Caenorhabditis elegans: one gene and its partners. The protein of the gene in region 3 purifies or fractionates together with the protein of the main gene of each other region. This does not show direct contact. Each region holds a gene or a part of one and is shown on either strand. Other genes may lie near its edges.

What was found.
Region 1: the proteins of rpc-2 (region 3) and rpac-40 fractionate together in Caenorhabditis elegans (co-fractionation; one large-scale study listed by BioGRID). This does not show direct contact.
Region 2: the proteins of rpc-2 (region 3) and Y17G7B.12 fractionate together in Caenorhabditis elegans (co-fractionation; one large-scale study listed by BioGRID). This does not show direct contact.

Annotation. Positions count from the first base shown.
Region 1 is NC_003283.11:4,197,681-4,204,209, reverse strand, and holds rpac-40 (DNA-directed RNA polymerases I and III subunit RPAC1), read right to left. Parts: upstream 4,726-6,529; 5' UTR 4,720-4,725; coding exon 4,636-4,719; intron 3,917-4,635; coding exon 3,237-3,916; intron 2,194-3,236; coding exon 2,090-2,193; intron 2,038-2,089; coding exon 1,921-2,037; intron 767-1,920; coding exon 651-766; 3' UTR 514-650; downstream 1-513. Other genes in the region: algn-5 (dolichyl-phosphate beta-glucosyltransferase), read right to left, coding at 5,118-5,150, 5,797-5,985.
Region 2 is NC_003280.10:12,022,218-12,026,445, reverse strand, and holds Y17G7B.12 (RNA exonuclease 4), read right to left. Parts: upstream 2,586-4,228; 5' UTR 2,581-2,585; coding exon 2,294-2,580; intron 2,198-2,293; coding exon 1,909-2,197; intron 1,121-1,908; coding exon 1,037-1,120; intron 989-1,036; coding exon 920-988; intron 685-919; coding exon 604-684; 3' UTR 526-603; downstream 1-525. Other genes in the region: Y17G7B.8 (F-box domain-containing protein), read left to right, coding at 84-314, 433-525; glb-29 (Globin domain-containing protein), read right to left, coding at 2,779-2,859, 2,910-3,059, 3,552-3,738, 3,835-3,926.
Region 3 is NC_003281.10:5,555,564-5,563,377, reverse strand, and holds the start of rpc-2 (DNA-directed RNA polymerase subunit beta), read right to left. Parts: upstream 6,014-7,814; coding exon 5,282-6,013; intron 4,869-5,281; coding exon 3,961-4,868; intron 3,721-3,960; coding exon 3,631-3,720; intron 3,582-3,630; coding exon 3,299-3,581; intron 3,002-3,298; coding exon 2,807-3,001; intron 2,536-2,806; coding exon 2,157-2,535; intron 1,698-2,156; coding exon 1,139-1,697; intron 621-1,138; coding exon 476-620; intron 1-475. Other genes in the region: hach-1 (3-hydroxyisobutyryl-CoA hydrolase, mitochondrial), read right to left, coding at 6,388-6,506, 6,557-6,777, 6,976-7,349, 7,402-7,794.

The sequences.
Region 1 (6,529 bases), on a different chromosome or scaffold from region 3:
AAAATATTGAATTTTTGCTAGTTTTCTAAAAACAATCGTTTTTTTTTCAATTTTCTGAAAAAAATTCGAAAACTGCCCCGTTTTTCCAGTATTTCGAAAAAGGATATTTTTTAGAACAAAATTGATTTTTCTTTTTTTCTGCAAAGAAAAGATTTTTCGCTTTTTCGATTTTCCGGAAAACCGAAAATGTTAGTTTTACAATTTTTTATTCAAATTTTGGTTTTTTTTTTTAATTTTTTGAAGAAAATTATATTTTTTCATCAGGATAGACAAAAATTGATGATTTTTAAAGTTTTGTTTCTAATTTTTCTGAAAATCGAAAAGAATTCGTTTTCCAATATTTTGAGAAAATAGCTCAAAATTTTGGAGTTTTTCCATTTTTTAATAATTTTTTTCTGAAAAAACCGAAAAAATGAATGATTTTTCTATGAACCTGTTAAAAAACTACAAAAAAAACAAATAAAAAATGGAAATTTCAACCATTTGGCCAACTAGGAGATATTTGAAGGTAAAAAAGCCACGAAAATTCATTCAAATTAAGAAAAAAGAAAGTGACGGAACAGTGTAACAACTTGAGGGGTAGTCAAACAACAACAAAAAAAAAGGATAACGAATAAAAAAATAGTAACAAAATTTCAAAAAAACGGGGATTATTGAATAAGAGCCTCGATTTGTTTGCGAAGAGAACGACACTTGATTTCCATGACTTTACAGGCTTCAACCACCAATTCAGACGATTTCAGAGCTCCAGTCGACTCTACACTGACTGAAAAAAAAACTAAAATTGCCGGAATTCAAAATTTCCGGCAAATCGGCAAACCGGCAAATTGCCAATTTGCCGAATTTGCCGGTAAAAATTGTGAAAAATTTTTTGTGTGTTTTTTTTTCAGTTTAAAAAAAAAGAAATTTGAAATTTTGGCAATTTTTTTAAATGGTTTTTTGGTTTTTTTTTGTATTTTTGAAGAAATTTTCATTTTTCTCATTGAAATATAATTTATTTTTAAATAAGTTTATAGTTTTTCCCTCTTTTTTCCTACGTTTTTTTCGGTTTTTTTTTTATATTTAAAAAAAATCGACTTTCTCAACCAAAAAAATTAGAAAACTTGGGAAAAATCGAAAAATTTCTGACGACGAAATTTTGTGTTTTTTTTTCGTTAAATTTTTTTTTCTCATCAGTTTCGATAAAATTGATTTATGGGGTTATTCAAGTAGTGTCGGAAAATTAAAAAGTGTAAAAAAATTTTTGCGAAAAAAAAAAAAAATTGCTACATTACTTGAATAACCCCATTAGAAAAAATCATATTTAATGGTTAATTTTAACCGATTTTTACTAATTTTCCACAAAAATTCGGGCCCTTGAAAAGTAGAAAATTTAGGATTTTTGTAATTTTATCGGAAAAAAGTTCGAAAAAATGGGTTTTTTTTGTGAATTTTTCAGAATTTTTCGAATTTTCCCCAGTTTCTGCTCAATTTTAATTTTCTGAACATTTTTTTTAAAAATTTTTTCGTTTTTTTTAAGTTCGAAAACTCAAAAATTTTCTTTTCCCAATTTCCAATTTTTCAACTTTTCGTTTTAAAAATTTTTTCAAAAAAAAAATCGAAAAACGGCACGTCTGTACCATGTTTCTGGCGAAAATTCTTTTTTTTTCGAAAAAAAAAGCGAAAAAAAATATATAAAAACTCCGGCTCCAAAAAAAATTACTTATACATTTTCCAAAAAAACCACTCTCAAAATTAAAAAAAAGAGTTAAAATTTGGCAAAAATATTTAAAATTTTCAAAATAAGGTTTCAAACTTTAACAAAATTGGGGTTTGTTTTTCGACAACTTTTCGTGTATTTTTTTTTGGAAAAAAAACCAAAAAAATGCGAAAAATTCATGAATTTCAGTTTTTTTTTTCGAATTCAGCCCTGCCACTAACAAATGAAATGCTGTTTGTTCTTTCCCAATTGAACAACTTTCGACAGATCTTCGTGGCGGAACACGTTACGACTGCACGTATCCTTGCGAGCATCCTTGACAACAGCAATTCGTTTGGCTGAAATTTTAAAAAAATTGGTGTGTTTCCTAAAAATTGATTTATGATCTACCTCCTTTCTTCTCGATAGCAATAACTCCCTCGCTGAATACTGATTTGAGACGTTCGGCAGCTTCACCCGAAATTTCGGCGTTCAAGCGGATCGTTGGAAGCAGTCTGGAATGAAAAGAAATTTTTTGAAAAATTGGAAGAATTTGAAGGTCAAATTGGCAAACCGGCAAACCGGCAAATTGTGTTTTTGCACATTTTTTTTGGAAATTTCAGATTTTCAATTTCAATCGGCTAAATTGTACGCATCCTATAAATGTTCCTACATGTATTTTGAAAAGTAGGCAAATTCTATGAAAATTTCCGGCAAACCGGCAAATCGTCAATTTGTCAAAAATGAAAATTCCGGCAAATCGGTAAACCGGCAAATTGCAGAAAATGAAAATTCCGGCAAATCGGTAAACCGGCAATTAACCGAAATCGAAGTTTCCGGCAAATCGTCAAACTGGCAAATTGCCGAAAAAGAAAATTTCCGGCAAATCGACAAATCGGCAAATTGCTGAAAATGAAAATTTCCAGCAAATCGCCGAAAATGAAAATTTCCGGCAAATCGACAAATCGGCAAATTGCTGAAAATGAAAATTTCCAGCAAATCGCCGAAAATGAAAATTTCCGGCAAATCGACAAATCGGCAAATTGCTGAAAATGAAAATTTCCAGCAAATCGCCGAAAATGAAAATTTCCGGCAAATCGCCGAAAATGAAAATTGCCGAAAATAAAAAAAAATTGGCAATTTGTCAAATTTGTCGACAAAAAAATTCACCTCTGGCTTGAAATTTTCGAACTTTTTTTTCCACAAAATTACAGAAAACAGTCTAAATATACTGAATATAGGTAGATGTACAAAAATTATTTAACTTCCCCAAAATATCTCGTAGCGAAAACTACAGTAACTCTTTAAAAGCTACAGTAGTCATTTAAAGAATTACTGTAGTTTTCGCTACGAGATATTTTGCGCGTCAAAAATTTTGTGTAATACGCATTCTCAGAATTTGGGGTCCCGTAAAACCGAAAATATATTATATGAATTATAATTTTTTTCCCCCCAATTTTTCACTTTTTCCGAGAAAATCGAAAAACGAAAAATTTTCAATTTTCCGGAAAACCGCAAAAATCAAAAGAAAATATTTCAGCAGCTTCAAAATTCACACCTATAGGACGCAGTAGCAACCGGTGAGAACTTTGCATGATCCCGTCCGATTCCCTTGACCGCATGGCAACTGGCTTCAATTTCCTGTCCAGGACGAAGCTTGGCAACGAGAATATCATCAGAAACCATACGTGGATGGGCTTCTTCGGTGAATTGCGTCTTCTGATCAGCAATCGGTACCCATTCAAAAGCACGTGAGTAGACCGAGCTATTGTGATAAAGCTGCTTCGGATCGGTAGCCGTCGGCACCGCATTTCGATTCTTCGTACACGAAACATTAATCTTGAAGATCAAATTTTTCGCGGGATCTCCCTCGGGCTCCTCGTCACAATCCACTCCCTTCTCATTGATTCCAACGACTTTTTCCTTTGGAAACTGAAATCCACGTGGATCCACACGAAGCGGCAGAAGACCCAAACGATGGCAGAGTACTTCATCTTGAATTACAGAAGTATTCTGATAGAGATAAATCTTCTCGAGAGCCATCGTTGGCACTTCGGCGATGAGCACACGGCGAAGAGCATTTGCAATTGGAGCTTCAATGCGAGTAATATCAAATTCCAATGTCATTCCATCGTCGGATTCATTGACCATTGCCACTTGGATTTGATCGCAATACTCGTTGATATCGAATTGTTTTGTATCGTCGTATTCGACATAATCGGTGCATTCGTCGTAGGTCTGGAATTGAAGAAGAATTTTTGGAAAATTTAAAAAAATAAAAATTTCGGCCGAAAAGCAAAAAATCGAATTTCTTCAAAAAAAAAAAACAAAAAAAAATATTGACCAGAAATGTCGGTTTTTTGGTTTTTTTTTCCTTTTTTTTTTGAGACGAAAAAATTGGCAAAAAAATTTTCCCGTGGTGGAGAGTTGAACTCAAACTGCTGCGAGTGAATATAAGCATTGACTCCATCTTCGATTTGCTGTTCAAGCGTGGGCGTTTTTAGCTTCTTGCTCTTCGGTCCGGAGGACATCGCGACAACGACGTTACGCGTGGTGAAAAATACACGCAATCCGCTTTTTTTTTGTTCATTTTTTCTTTGGTTTGTGTTTTTTTTTTCCAAAAAGTTGAAAAAATCGAAAGTTAATTTTTTCTTGGTTTATCTCACAATTTTAAATTTTTTCAATTTTTTTTGAAAAAAAGTAATCTTTCACTAATTTCCGGCAGTTGATAAATCGCCGCCTTTTTTCGTAAATTTGTATAACAATTTTTTTCGGAAAAATAACGATTTTCAATAAAAAATTGGAATTTTTTAAAATTTTTCTGGACGAAATTTTAAAAAAATACGGAAAATGCTTTTGCCGCCTGATTTCCTAACGAGACCCAACGTTTGGGGGCGGAGCGCTCTCGTTTCCCAATGGAGCGCGATTGCATCCTTGAAATATTCAAAAAATCCTACATTGAGCACAACTTCCTCTTTCATCTCGATCTCATCACTGTGATAGGTAGCCTGCTTGCTAGTTGCCGCCGCTTTTTTGACCATTTTTGCCTGGAAATTTTTTGATTTTTTTCGCCTGAAAACTCTATGGAAAGATATAAAATCGCTGGGAAAACGAAAAAAAAAACAAAAAAATGGAAAAAAACATTTAAATCGATATTTTTTTGAATTTAGCATTAAAAATAAACCCAGAGTCCCCAGAACAAGAGAGAAAAAAAAGAAAAACCAACAAGTAAATAAATAAATAATAAAAATGCGAAAAGAAAAAAGAATAGAATCACATTTTCAAGGAATCATGGATATTTACAACCAGCCATAAATTGGAAAAAAAATCAGGAAAAAGCAGGGAAAAAAAGTGATTAAAGCATAGATATTACTAGAAGAAAAAGGAAATTTTTGGGCAAGATTTTTTGAAAATCTCGTATCGATTTTTTGTGGAGCATTTAGCGAGGCTGGTCATCCGTCCAAATTCCGATCTGAAAATAAAATTTTAATGTCAAAAATATTGTCAGGTCGCTCTACCGCACACGAAAATGGCGGGAAAATATTTTTTGAAAATTTGTGACGTCACACAGCGCATTTTGAATAATTGCTTTTGTTCAATTTAAGCGCCGATTTTCGTGAAATTTTTTTAAAAACTGGCTCATTTTAATTTATAAAATTTGATATTTTACAAAAATTCTAAAATTTAGTGGAGAAATTGAAGCAAAATACAATAAAAATGAATAATTTCAATTTAAACAAAAATTTATTTGGAAAATCATTTTTAAAAAATTCACGGAAACTTGGTAAATGAACGGTTTAAATGGTTTTTCGAAAAAAAAAATTCGTTTCAATTGAAATTATTCATTTTTATTGTGTATTTTGCTTCAATTTTTCCACTAAATTTTAAGAATTTTGGTAAAATATCAAATTTTATAAATTAAAATGAGAAAGATATTATTTATTTATTTTTTTTTTAAGTTTGACAAAAATCGGCGCTTAAAATTAAGAAAATTATTCAAGATACGCTGTGACGTCACAAATTAAAAAAAAAATATTTTCCCGCCATTTTCGTGTGCAGTAGAGCGATGGGACATCCTGACACCACTTCAAAAAAGGCCTAAAAAACTGCAATTTTACCGTATATCTGAACCAAATGAGCACAAGATCTCGGCCCATTTGAAGCCAAGACCAAATTGGAGTAATCTTAGACCCTTCGATTTCAGTCCATCGAACTGAAACTTCTTTCACAGGGACCGTCCATCTTTCGCAAAGGAAGATGAGCTCAACGTCAAAAGCCCAGCGCTCAATGTGAAGTACTGGGAAAATCTGAAAAAAAAACGTTTTTTTTTTTTGGTTTTTTTTACTTTAATTTGACGAATTTTAGCTAAAATCTTAAATCAGGAATTGAAAATTTTCGGCAAATCGGCAATTTGCCGGAATTGAAAATTTCAGGAAAATCAGCAATTTGCCGGAATTGAAATATCCGGTAAATTGACAAATTGCCGTTATTGAAAATTTCCGGCAAATCGACAAATCGGCAAATTTCCGGAATTGAAAATTTCCGGCAAATCGGCAAACTTCCGGAATTGAAAATTTCCGGCAAATCAGCAAATTGCCGGAATTGAAAATTTCTGGCAAATCGGCAAATTGCCGGAATTGAAAATTTCCGGCAAATCGGCAAACTTCCGGAATTGAAAATTTCCGGCAAATCGGCAAATTGCCGGAATTGAAATTTCCGGCAAATCGGCAATTTTGCTGAATTTAAAATTTCAGGAAAAATGGCAAACCGACAAATTGTCGATTTGACGAATTCGCCTGAAACACGGCAATTGCCGAAAATTTTCGGCAAATTGTGGTTTTGCACATTTTT
Region 2 (4,228 bases), on a different chromosome or scaffold from region 3:
AGAAAAAAGCCGTTTAAAGTCGAAATTCTCAATAGATCGCGTTTTCATCCTAGTTTTTCCCGCCAAAACTTCACATTTTCCAGAGAATTCTATCGCGTCCGATGAAGCGAAGTCACTGGTTCCCTGGATTCCACGTGCCAGTCGCTGAAAGATTATTCCGCCAGATTTTCCGCCAGGAAATGTTTGAAAAATTCGAGAATCACTCGATTCGTAAAAGTCCGATCAATTTGAAATTGTGGATTTTCGTGAAATTCACAAAATGTGGAATATCGATTTTTGTGGGGGATCCCAAGGATTTTAATGAACGGGATGGGGTTATTTTTCGATAAAAAATCGAATTTTTTAAATTTTAAAAATTTTTTAGCAAAAAAAAACTTAATTTTCGAAATTAGAAATTTTTTAGGGTTCCAAAAATTTTCAATTATTTTCCAGACCTGCGATCTGGAATGGATGTGCCCGAATTGTGCTCCGAAAACTATGGAAAACTGGTTTTTCCGCGAAACTATTGGGAAATTGCATTTTTGATTTTTTTTTTTCTGAATAAAACTTTCTACGAAACAGACAACAACGAGTAACAACAAAAAACAGAATAAATTGAAAAAATTAGCGATATCTCTTAATTTCGGCCTCCCATTGCTTTTTGACGGCCTCGTAGAGACGAAGAGCCACTCGAGCGTCGGTGATCTGAAAAAAAAACGAATTTTTGTGATTTTTTCGAGAGAAAATTTTAATTTTCAGCTGAAAAATCTGGTTTTTTTTCGGTTTTTTGTATCAAAAATTGGAATTTAAAATTTTTCAAAAGTTTCGAAAAAATAATTTTTTGAAATTTTTTAAAAATTTTCAAAAAATAATTTATTCAGATTTTTTGAATTTTTAAAACAAAATTTCAATTTTTGTCAATTTCCCTGAGAACCCCTACCGAATCGTGTTCTCCTCGCTGAATCTCAATTCCCAGTACTTCTTTTGCCAGTTTTTTCAGTGACGGGGTCTGAAAATTTCGAAACTTATGCATTTTTAAGGAATAAAATTCACTTACACCGTGATGATTAGCCATATTCTTGAGAATTGTGCATTTCGCAGTGTCTCGGGTCAGTTTTCGAATGTGATTCAGTTTCAGAACCTGGAAGTTTTTTTGTGTTTCTGAATTTAATTACAAATTTTTTAAATGAAAAATAATTATTTTTTGAAAAAAAAATATTTAAAAAAATAATTTTTTTATTTCGTTTTTCGACATTTGATTTCATATTTTCAAAAAAAAAATTTTTAACTTAAAAAAAAAATAAAATCGCTCTTTTTTTTAAATTCTTCGAATTTTCGCTCAAAATTTTAATTTTTTTATAATTTTCGAATTATTTGTTATTTTTTTAAAAATCATAAAAACATTTACGATTAATACTGAAATTTTACTTTTTTTTCGAAAATTGGGATTTTTTGATTTTTTTAAAAATTTCGTTCAGGCGATTTCAAAAAAAAAAGGAAATTTTTTTTCAATAAAAAAAACTTTGGAATTTTTAAATATTTTTTTTTTTTAATTATTTTTAAAAAATTAAGATTAAAACTGAAGTTTTCAAAAAATAATTTCAGTATTTGGGATTTTTTAATTTTCTCTCAGTTTTCCAAAAAAAGTAAAATTTTAGAACATTTTTTTAAACGAATTTATGGTTTTTTGAATTCCCGCTCAAATAAATTCCGACTTTTTTGCGTTAAAACACCATTTTTCAAATTTTCAGCCATTTTTCCGGAAAAAATTATTTTTAAAAATGTGAATTTATCGGCGTTTTGACGGAAAAAATTATAGTTTTTTAATCGAAAATTTGGGTAAAAACGGAGAAAATTATTTAAAAAAAAATTTTGACAATATTAAAATCTGATTTTCAAATTTTTTTCGAATTTCTCCTCAAAATTCACCCTAAAATCATTATGAACAGCATGTCCAATCACAATTCTTCCATCAATCAACTTTGAAACTTCAGTTTGTGCTCTATCAAATGGAATCGCTTTTATCATATTTTCCGGGCGAATTCCAGACACCGCAGTACGGAAATCCGTGACTTTTTCGGTTGGCTTCACGAATTTGTCGTACACGATCTTGCCGAGCTCATTGACAATCGAAATTCTCGCCAAAATATCCGTTGTTCCACCCATTCCGGCTCCGACGTATTCACAATCGATTGCGATTACTTTTGTCAGCTCTCCTCTGAAAAAAAACGATTTTTAATACATTTTTCGTGGTTTTTCAAGGATTTTCGACTAAAAATCGCCGATTTTTAGCCTTTTTCCACACATTCCGAACCTTTCTGAATCTTCAATAACCACCGGAATATCATGATGAACTCGTTTGACCTCCGAAGCGGCGGCAAGAGCCTCCTGAGCTCTCCGCTTCCGATTCATCTTCTGTTTTTGCTTTTTCGTCTGAACTTTTGTGAATCCGTCGTCACTTCCTTCAGGATTCGCTTCTTTTTCAGCTTTTGCAGCTTTTTCTTTCTCCGCTTTCTCTTCATTGAGCTTCATTTGCAGCACTTTCCACGCCGGCGACAAATCCTTCGGGTCCACTGTTTTTGCAGCGTGTTTTGATGCCATTTAAGCTAAATTTTATCGATTTTATCGGCAAAATAATTAATTCCAATATATTTATTCAATGTTTTTACATGAAAACACCCGAAAAATCACGAAATTCGGTAAAAAAAGAGGAAAAATAAAATAAAATAATAAATTTATTTCAGTGCAATGTAACGTGACGGTGTACACACACCAAATACACCACATCCGACGCGCAACTCAATTCCCACTGGGTACTGTACTTGGCGGATTGCAGCTGTTTCGGCGGCCATTTATACGTGACATTCTGTCGAATCCGACCTGAAAATTGTCGAAAAATTAATTGGAATTGAAAATGCTAGGCCACCAACCTTCATCTCGTCAGTTACACAGGCCAACAGGAGCCTCCAGGCTTTTACAGTCTCGTGATTAAATTTTACGACATCTTGCGAGCCGATCACGAAAACCGAAATCTCTCCAAATTGCTCAATCATCGCTCCAGTGAACCCACTTTCAGCCATCTGAAAATTAGGCCATCAATAAGGTTTTTCTAGGCCACCAGTGATTTTTCTAGGTCATCAATGTGTCTTCTAAGCCACCAATGGTTTTTCTAGGCCATCAATTATTTTTCTAAACCTCCAATGATCTTTCTAGGCCATCAATGTTTTTCTAGGCCATCAGTGTTTTTTCTAGGCCATCAATGATTTCTCAAGGCCATCAATTTTTCTAGGCCATCAGTGGCTTTCTAGATCATCAATGATTTTTCTAGGCCATCAGTGTTTTTTCTAGGCCATCAATGATTTTTCTAGGCCAACAATGATTTTCTAGGTCATCAATATTTTTTCTAGGCCATTTATAGTTTTTTCTAGGGCAAGAATATTTTGTATAGGCCATCAATGATTTTTCTAGGTCATCAGTGTTTTTTCTAGGCTATCAATGTTTTTTCTAGGCCATCGGTGATTTTTCTAGGCCACCAGTGGTTTTTCTAGGCCATAAGTATCATTTTTGCTCACCTGAGCATGTTTCTCTCCATAATGCCGTATCATCGTCAACTGCTCGTTAATATTTTCCAAATTTTCAATAAGTCTCTCGAATATTCCAACCATACATTTACAGTGGTCATATTCCGTCTTTACAAGGGGCGGAGTCTGGCGTTCGCGGCTCAGTGAGTTCACGAATGCGGTAGTGAGAAATATCGATCTGGAAATTACGATTTTTGATCTCTGCTATACAAGTGCGCTCCATTGTGAAAATTTTAAATTAAAAACAAATGTTTTTATAAACCACGTGGCTCACCTCATATCTGGGCACTTTGTCTCGAGGCGTCTGAAAATTTTCTCCATGAGTTTGAGGAATGTGCCGCCCGAATTCATCGCATTGAAACTTTGCTGAAAATTTAAAAATTGCGTGGTTTTTCTAGGCCATCTATGTTATTTCTAAACCATGAATGTTGTTTCTAGGCCATCAATGTTTTTTCTAAGCCATGAATATTTTTTCTGGGCCTTCGTAGTTTTTTTAGGTCATCAATATTTTTTCTAGGCCATCAATATTTTTTTCTAGGCCATCAATGTTTTTTAGGTCGTCAAAGCTTTTTTATGCCATAAATATTTTTTCTAGGCCATAAATTTGTTTTCTATGCCATCCGTGGTTTTCTAGGCAATCAATTTGTTTTCTAACTTCTTAGGCCACT
Region 3 (7,814 bases):
TTTTTAACTTCCGAGCAACAGAGATTCAGAGCCATTAAAATAGAAAGTTTTGCTTTTTTTAAAAAGTTTTTAGGGAAAATGCTTTTTTTAAAATCGATTTCTCTGTTCTTATAAAAAAGTGGGAGTTCAAAAAAAAATTAATAATCGGTTTCCGACCTTTTTTTTCGATATTTTCAGATAAAAGTCGGGAAATGTATTCTCTCATGATCAAACAAAATCCATAATTTTCTCTGCGGTAAATCAAAAATTTTCAAGAACCTTTCCAAAAAACGTCAACCCAGTTTCCAAGAAAAGTCGACCCGCAAAGTCAACCCACGCAAGGCTTCTCCCAGTCTCTCCCGCAACAGTTTCGCTCCTCATTTTCGCAAAAAAGAACCACTTGAGAGTGTTACGGCTAGTGTAATGATGAGCAAAAATTGCGCGCACACACACAAAAGTAGCAAACTTTTAAAAAAAACTCGGTAAGGGAATTTACCTTAAACTCATCTGATGACACCATCAAACGCTCAATAAGCAGCATCGATGCTCCATAGGCAATGAGACAATCACGTTCCATTTCTCCAAGACGTAGACCTCCTTCTCGTGATCTTCCTTCTGTTGGCTGGCGAGTCAATGCGGCTCTGAAAATTTATAGATTTTTAAAAGAAACTCTGAGAATAAATTGAAAAAAATTTTTAAAAAAAGTTTTTTTTTTAATTTAAAAAATGTGAGAAAAATTAAAATGGTTTTTTTTGTTCCAAAATATGCATAACATTTCCGCGAATTGGATTTGAAAAAAATGTATTTCCACTATGAAAAATTGATTCTTTTTTCCCCTAATTTCCTAAGCTTCGAGCATTTTGTCAATTCCTTTTTCAGAACTTTTTCAATTTGGCTTTTTTCGAAATTTTAACCATGATAAAAATAAGTGAATTTTGATTGATACCAAATTTTCTAATTAAAAAAATGTTGCAATTCCTCATTGTTTTACATCAAAAGTTTTAAAGGAAAGTTGGAAAATGCAGAGTTAACTGTTCTAAAAATTTTTCTTTTTCAGATTTTGTTGCTAAACTTAATTTTTAAATATTTAATTGAAAATTCTTTCCAAAATTCAGAATTTCCAGACAAGACATTATCTAAATTCAAAATCTCTCCACACCTCGGTCCTCTGGCACGGGCGTGCATCTTATCCAAAACCATATGCTTGAGCTTCTGATAATAGATTGGTCCAAAGTAGATATAAGCAGATAATGGTTGTCCAGTAATTCCACTTGTCAGCATATCTTTTCCCATATAATTATAACCACAAGCAGCCAATTCTTCACAGACATCTTTAACCTGATCTCCACCAAATGCTGTTCCATAATGATATGTTCCATTCACTACTCCAGCTTTTCCAGATAACAATTCCATTAATTTTCCGACAGTCATTCGAGATGGATATCCATGAGGATTCATAATCATATCTGGCACCATTCCAAGATCATTAAATGGCATATCTTCCTGTTGAGCAATCAATCCGCATACTCCTTTTTGTCCGTGTCGAGATGAGAATTTATCTCCAAGTTCTGGCCGACGGGTTTGTCGAAGAAGAACTTTGAATAAATGAGCTTCATCTTCATTATAGGTAAGAAGAACTCGTTCCGCATATGATGGAGTTGGAGTTTTATACGTGATCGAGACGTCTTTGTAGTCAACTTGGCGTCCAGCGATTCCGACTGAAAATTTAAAGAATTGTTAGTGAACGTTTTTTTTTTTACTTTTTCAGAGTTTTATATTTAAATTTTCGTTTTAAATTAAATTAATTGAATATTTGAACGGAATAAATGTCAAGTTTTATTTAATTGTGAACGTAAAAAAGTTAGAAAATTTATATTCGCAAAAAAGAACGGAGACAGTTTCTTTGAGTTTTTTTTTAAAACATTTGTTTAATTGGTAAAAATTAAAAAATGCTATAAATACTTCAGATTTTTTGGAAAAAGTTTTAAAACAGGGTTTCTGTTGAAAACTCGCTTTCATTTTTACGAGGTTGGTCTGGGAATTGTTTATTATTCTTTTTTTTTTATATTTTTCGTGTTTTTTTTCGTAAAACTTTTAAAAAAATAGATGTCTTCTCGAAACTGTACATTCCGTTTTTATTTTCCTTATACAAATTCGTCATGCTCATTTCAACATACTTGTATTGGCAGAAGCCGACGCTCCAGGACCACTTTCTCCACTGACAACTGGCATGTGCTTATTGATAATCGTCTGTTTCGGCATAATACGTGCTCCGGCGAATACAATACCCTCTTGATCGAGATTTTTGTGCTTGAAAATTGGTTTTCTCGTGTTCGGATCCAATGCTGGTCCTAGAAGACGATCGAATGTCTGATTCGGATATTTTTTGGCGGTTCCCTTCACATGTTTGTAGACCAGACAACGACCATAACCACGATCCAGTGAAGCTTTATTGAGCACAAGAGCATCTTCGATATCGTAACCACTGTATGACATCACTGCGATGATTCCATTCGCGCCGGCCGGCAGTTTTTCAAAGTTTGTCAGTTCGATTGTCTGGAAAATTGTGATGTAAAAAGTTTGAACAATTGATAATTTTCTAAAAGAAAAACAAATTAAAAATTTCTGAATAGAATAATTGATTAGAAAGATATAGCGGATACTTCCGATTTGATTTTTTTATTTTTCGGAATTCAGGAAATTGATTTATTTTTATTTTCAGGATTATTAACGATATCTCTCCACAAACATTAGTTCAATAAATGAAACATGCATTTTTTAATCAAATTTTTTTCATAAATTTTAAAATATTTCAATTTTAACGAACCTTTGACTTAACGAGTGGTCTCTGTGGATAACATAAAAGATACATAATTGAATCAATTCTTTTCTGTTGATTATAGGCAATTGTTCCCATTGCTTGTTTACCCATAGCACATTGATAAGTATTACGTGGAGATTGATTATGATGTGGATATGGAATAAGACCAGCACACACTCCAAGAAGAGTAAATGGCTCAATCTGGAAATTTTGAAAGATTATTAATAGCTCAGACACTGAAAAGTGCAAATTTTATTTTAAACTAAGGATAAAAATCTTTAAATGTTGGAATTTCCTTGAATTATAGAATTTTAGAGCTCTAAATAATTTGATTTTCAATTTTTTATATTTAAAAAAATGAGAATTTAAACTTTTTTCACATAGTTTTAAGTTTCAGACAAATTTTACCAAATTTTTTGAATTTTCTTTACAGGAAAGAACAACCAGTTTTCGATTTAATTTTTTTCATTTTTAGATTCACAAAGTTCAAAAACGTACCTCCAAATGTGTAGTTTCTGGGCCAATTTCTCTCCCATAAACGGCAATCAACGCATCGTTCATCTCATTTACATCCAAATATTCGACAATTCCGTCATCAACAAAATCCTCAAAAATCATTTTTCCCTCTTTCAGTTCCTGCACGTGAGCCTGTGTGAGCATTGGAGTTCCGTTTTTGACAATAATATATGGTCGACACAGGCGGCCACCGTCTGATGAAATGAAAACAGAACGATTGGTTAGAGAACGGGATACTGAAACAAATTCTGACAGGAGTCCACTTCTGAAATTGAAATTCGATGAATTTTTTGGCAACATTTTTTTGTTGAAACCTTCTCAAATCTCTGACGGCTTTCACCACTCTTTCTGGATCCACAGCTGTTCCAATGAGCACTCCGTTTAAGAAGATCAACGTGTTTTCACTGAAAATTTTCGATAAAAATAACCTTTTTTTTAGGAAAAAACACAAAAAAATGGATCTAGTAATTTTCAAAAATTGTCAAACCTTAACTCGATTTGAAATCTAATTTTTATGAAATTGATAATTTATTTTAGAAATTTATAAAAATTGATTAAAATATGCGATTTTTTCAAAACTAGCATTCTCAAAACTTTTATTTTTCAAGATTTCACACTTAAAATTTTAATTTGTAAAAACTCACGGCTTATTGACATGCGAGAAATGCACATTATGTAAATCCTCGACTCCCGAATTGAGTAACAATCTGAGAACGGGTTTCTCATCGGAATCAGTTGTAATGTGACTAATCAAAGCGAGATTCTTCACAAGACCACAAGCTTCACCTTCAGGAGTATCACTCGGACAAAGCATTCCCCATTGAGATGGTTGAAGGGATCGAGGACCAGAGACTTTTCGAGTTTTCTCAAAAGTCGAGTTGATTCTTGTCATCATACCAAGTGCTGAGATATATGACAATCTACTTAGTACTTGTGTAACACCAAGTCGTTCCATTCGGAATCTTTTGATAATCCAATTTCCTGTCGACATAGCATTCACTATAGTATTCGTAATCATATCTTGTCTCATATGCTTCACAATATCCAATGGTGCAGCCATTGTCTTCATCAACGCATTGTCTGCAATTCTTTTCAGTTCAGAGTTGAATCTTTTGAATACATCCTCAAACAGCAACGAAAGCAATGATCCAGCGAGCTCCAAACGTTTATTTCCGTAGAAATCCCGATCATCAAGCCCATTTTCTCCGAGTTCCGTTTGAATCAGTCGTCTTGTCATTAATCCCAAATAAATCGCCTTCATTTTGAAATTTCCATCTGGGCAAGCAATATGTGTGATCATTGAATTGGACAGAAAATCGACTGCTTCGTGTTCTTTCGGTGGAGTCAAGACGCTCACTGAAGTTCCTGGAAGTGATCCGAATGGTGTGAATTTACGAGCCTTGACTTTTGAGGTAACATATGCGAGTGCCTGCTGTTGGGTATAAACTCCGGCATTTATGGATTCTTCGAGAGTTTGAGCAAATGCTGAAACGTACTTCTCCTCGTGACCGATTGTACTCACAATGTCAAAATCTGATTCGACTCCCATCGCCTGGAAAATTGAAACTTTGAAAAGGAAGCGGTTTTTAGTTTTTGTTTTAACATAATGCTACACTTTTTTTAAAATTTTCCCTATTTTTTGTAATAATTTTCTTGAATTAAAAAAAGCGAACTCGAATTTTGGAAAAAAAAATCTGAAAAACTCCAGATTCGATAATAAATGTTTTTGAGGAATTTCGATTGAAAATATCGTAAAATGTTCAGTTTCTCACAATCAGAAAGAAAGAAAGCTTCATTATTTTTTATTCTAAAACATTTTTTGAGAATATTTTTTGCATCAAAATTTGGAAAAATATTTTTCGGAGAATGTTTTTGTATTGGATGTTTTTTTTTTTAAATAAAATATTTAGGAATGAATGCCGAACATTTTTTTTTTCAGTTGTCATCAAAATTCTCAAAATTTACCTTGAAAATGATGGAAACTGGTACATCATCGGTGAGCTGATTGTGGCGAACAGAATATTTACCCTTCTTCATAGTCACATATGTCTTACTTTTCCTCTCGGACGTCGACGAAAGTACTTCACACTGCAGTTCTTTACTTGAATTTCTTCCAACCATAATACGATTTTTGGAGAGTTGTTCTTGAATCAGGATAACCTTTTCACTTCCTTTGACCACAAAATAACCTCCTGGATCATATGGGCATTCTTGAACTCTTGCAAGCTCTTCTTCGGCAAGATCTCTGAGAATACATTTACTCGAACGAAGCATAATCGGCATTCGACCAATGATCAGATCCTTCTTGAATACTCTTTGATTACCACGTGTGTACTCAATATCCACTGAAATTGGCGCCGAGTAGGTCATATCTCGTAGTCGACATTCTTGAGGGGTAATCTTATCGTGAGTCATGTTGAGACCCTCCTCACTGCTGGGTTTTCCGATTCGAATATCCAAATATTTGAGATAAAAGTTTGGATTTGCATCGGAAGTGATCTTCTGATTGGAGAGCATGATACTTCGGATCTCCTCCTGCACGAAATGATCGAAACTGACGAGATGCTGTTTGACGAGTCCTCGAACTTTCAAAAACGCGGGAACGAGAAGCCATTTGTCCTCGAGTGGCATGCATTTCTGATCCTTGCCGCACTCGGATTTTATGCGAGCGCGGCCGTTCACTTGGCCAATTGTCATCTGAAAATTGGTATTGAAAATCTGAAATTCTAGAATAAAAATTATTTGAAAAAGAGGTACAAAAACAGAAAATAACAGTTTGCAATAGAAATCTGGAAATAAAATTCAAAAACAAAAAAAAACTTTATATTCATACGGCGAATAGCTGAAAAAGGCACGGAAATTATTTGTACACCCGGAAAAATTAAATTATAGCTAGACATTTTTCTAAAAATAAATACATAAGGGGTTCCTATTAAAATGGTAAAAATTATGGGGGAAAATCAACATTTTGGGTGAAAAGATAGGAAAACGAGGAAATCCGATAAAAATTATGGGTTTCCCTGATTTTTTAGCTTTCCATTAAAAATTCAATTTTCCGCTAATTCTGGCCTCTACAATTTTAAATCAGAATTATTTGGCAATGGCGAGAAATAGTTATCGACGACAGAATCCTTCACATCAGCCAACGTCGCTGGATTCCACTTTGGCTTGCGATCCTTGTCAACGAGAACTGAAAAATGAGTCAAATTTTCAATGAAACCCTACAAAATCTCTGCTCACTGGCTCGGCACCCTTCATGGAAATCCTTATCGGCGAGGAATCGTTGAGTGAGACGATACTCCATTGTGAAGATCTTTGCATAGCTCATCTTGCTTCCTTCGGTGATTTGTCGGTGAGTTACTTTCAGGGAAGTTGGGCTCATTTTTCCTAGAGTGGCTGCTTGCTTCTTTGCCCAGTCGGATCCGTCTTTTTCGAGGCTTGCGAGGATTTCTTCGACGCTTCTGAAAAATCAATTATTTTATATATCTTAGGCAAATGTAATTTTTTGTGTGCTATCGAATCCTCAAAACTGGCCCTTTCCTAGTTTTTGCTTAAAACTAATATTATCTGAGAAACAATAATAAATCAATTCGATGAAATGCTACTTTTTAATTTGTTCCAACTCAAATACACGTGATCTTGGTGACAAAATATCTTACTTTGCTTTGAAGGAATCTCTAATTTGAGCCAAATTCTTGGACAGACTGAATTCTGGAATCTTCTTTGGCTCGAACGATCTGATGACTTCATCGACAGAGTTCTCTGTCACATCCTTAATATTCACAAGTTCCTTTTCCAATTTCGCAAGTTCCGAAGACTCCACAAAATGAGTGGCAAGACCAGCATGGAAAGCGTCAGCACCTAGAAGACGATATCCAGTGAGTGCCAAGTACATTCCGAGGTTTCCCTTGAGCCTTGAAAGGAAATAGGATCCACCGACGTCTGGGAAGAGTCCAAGTGCGGTTTCTGGCATTGCTAGCATTGTTTTCTCAGTGGCAACTCGGAAACGTCCATTTACAGAAAGACCACAACCCTGAAACAAGTTTTTTAAAAAATTGAAAAGAAAATAGTTGCAGATAACTTACTCCTCCCATCACAATTCCATCAATCAGACAAACGTATTGCTTATTCAAAGTTCCAATTAAATGATTTAAAATGTACTCCTCGCGGAAGAAATCCTTGTGCATTGTGCACTCTTTTCCACTCTCCGAATCTTTGAAAGATCGCACAACGGCAAGAACATCTCCTCCAGCACAGAACGCCTTATCACCGGATCCTTTCAAAATGACAAGATCCACATCGGAAGATGAATTCCAGGCTTGAAGTTTGGGATAAAACTCTCGTACCATTTCGAGGTTCAACGCGTTTAGCGCTTTAGGCCTATTCAATGTAACCACCTTCTTCGATCCGTGTGTGTCGACAAGGATTTCCGACTTGGCGGCGGCGCTCACGGAGAACGACATCTTCTGGCAGACTTCCTGGAAATTTCTGAGTTTAG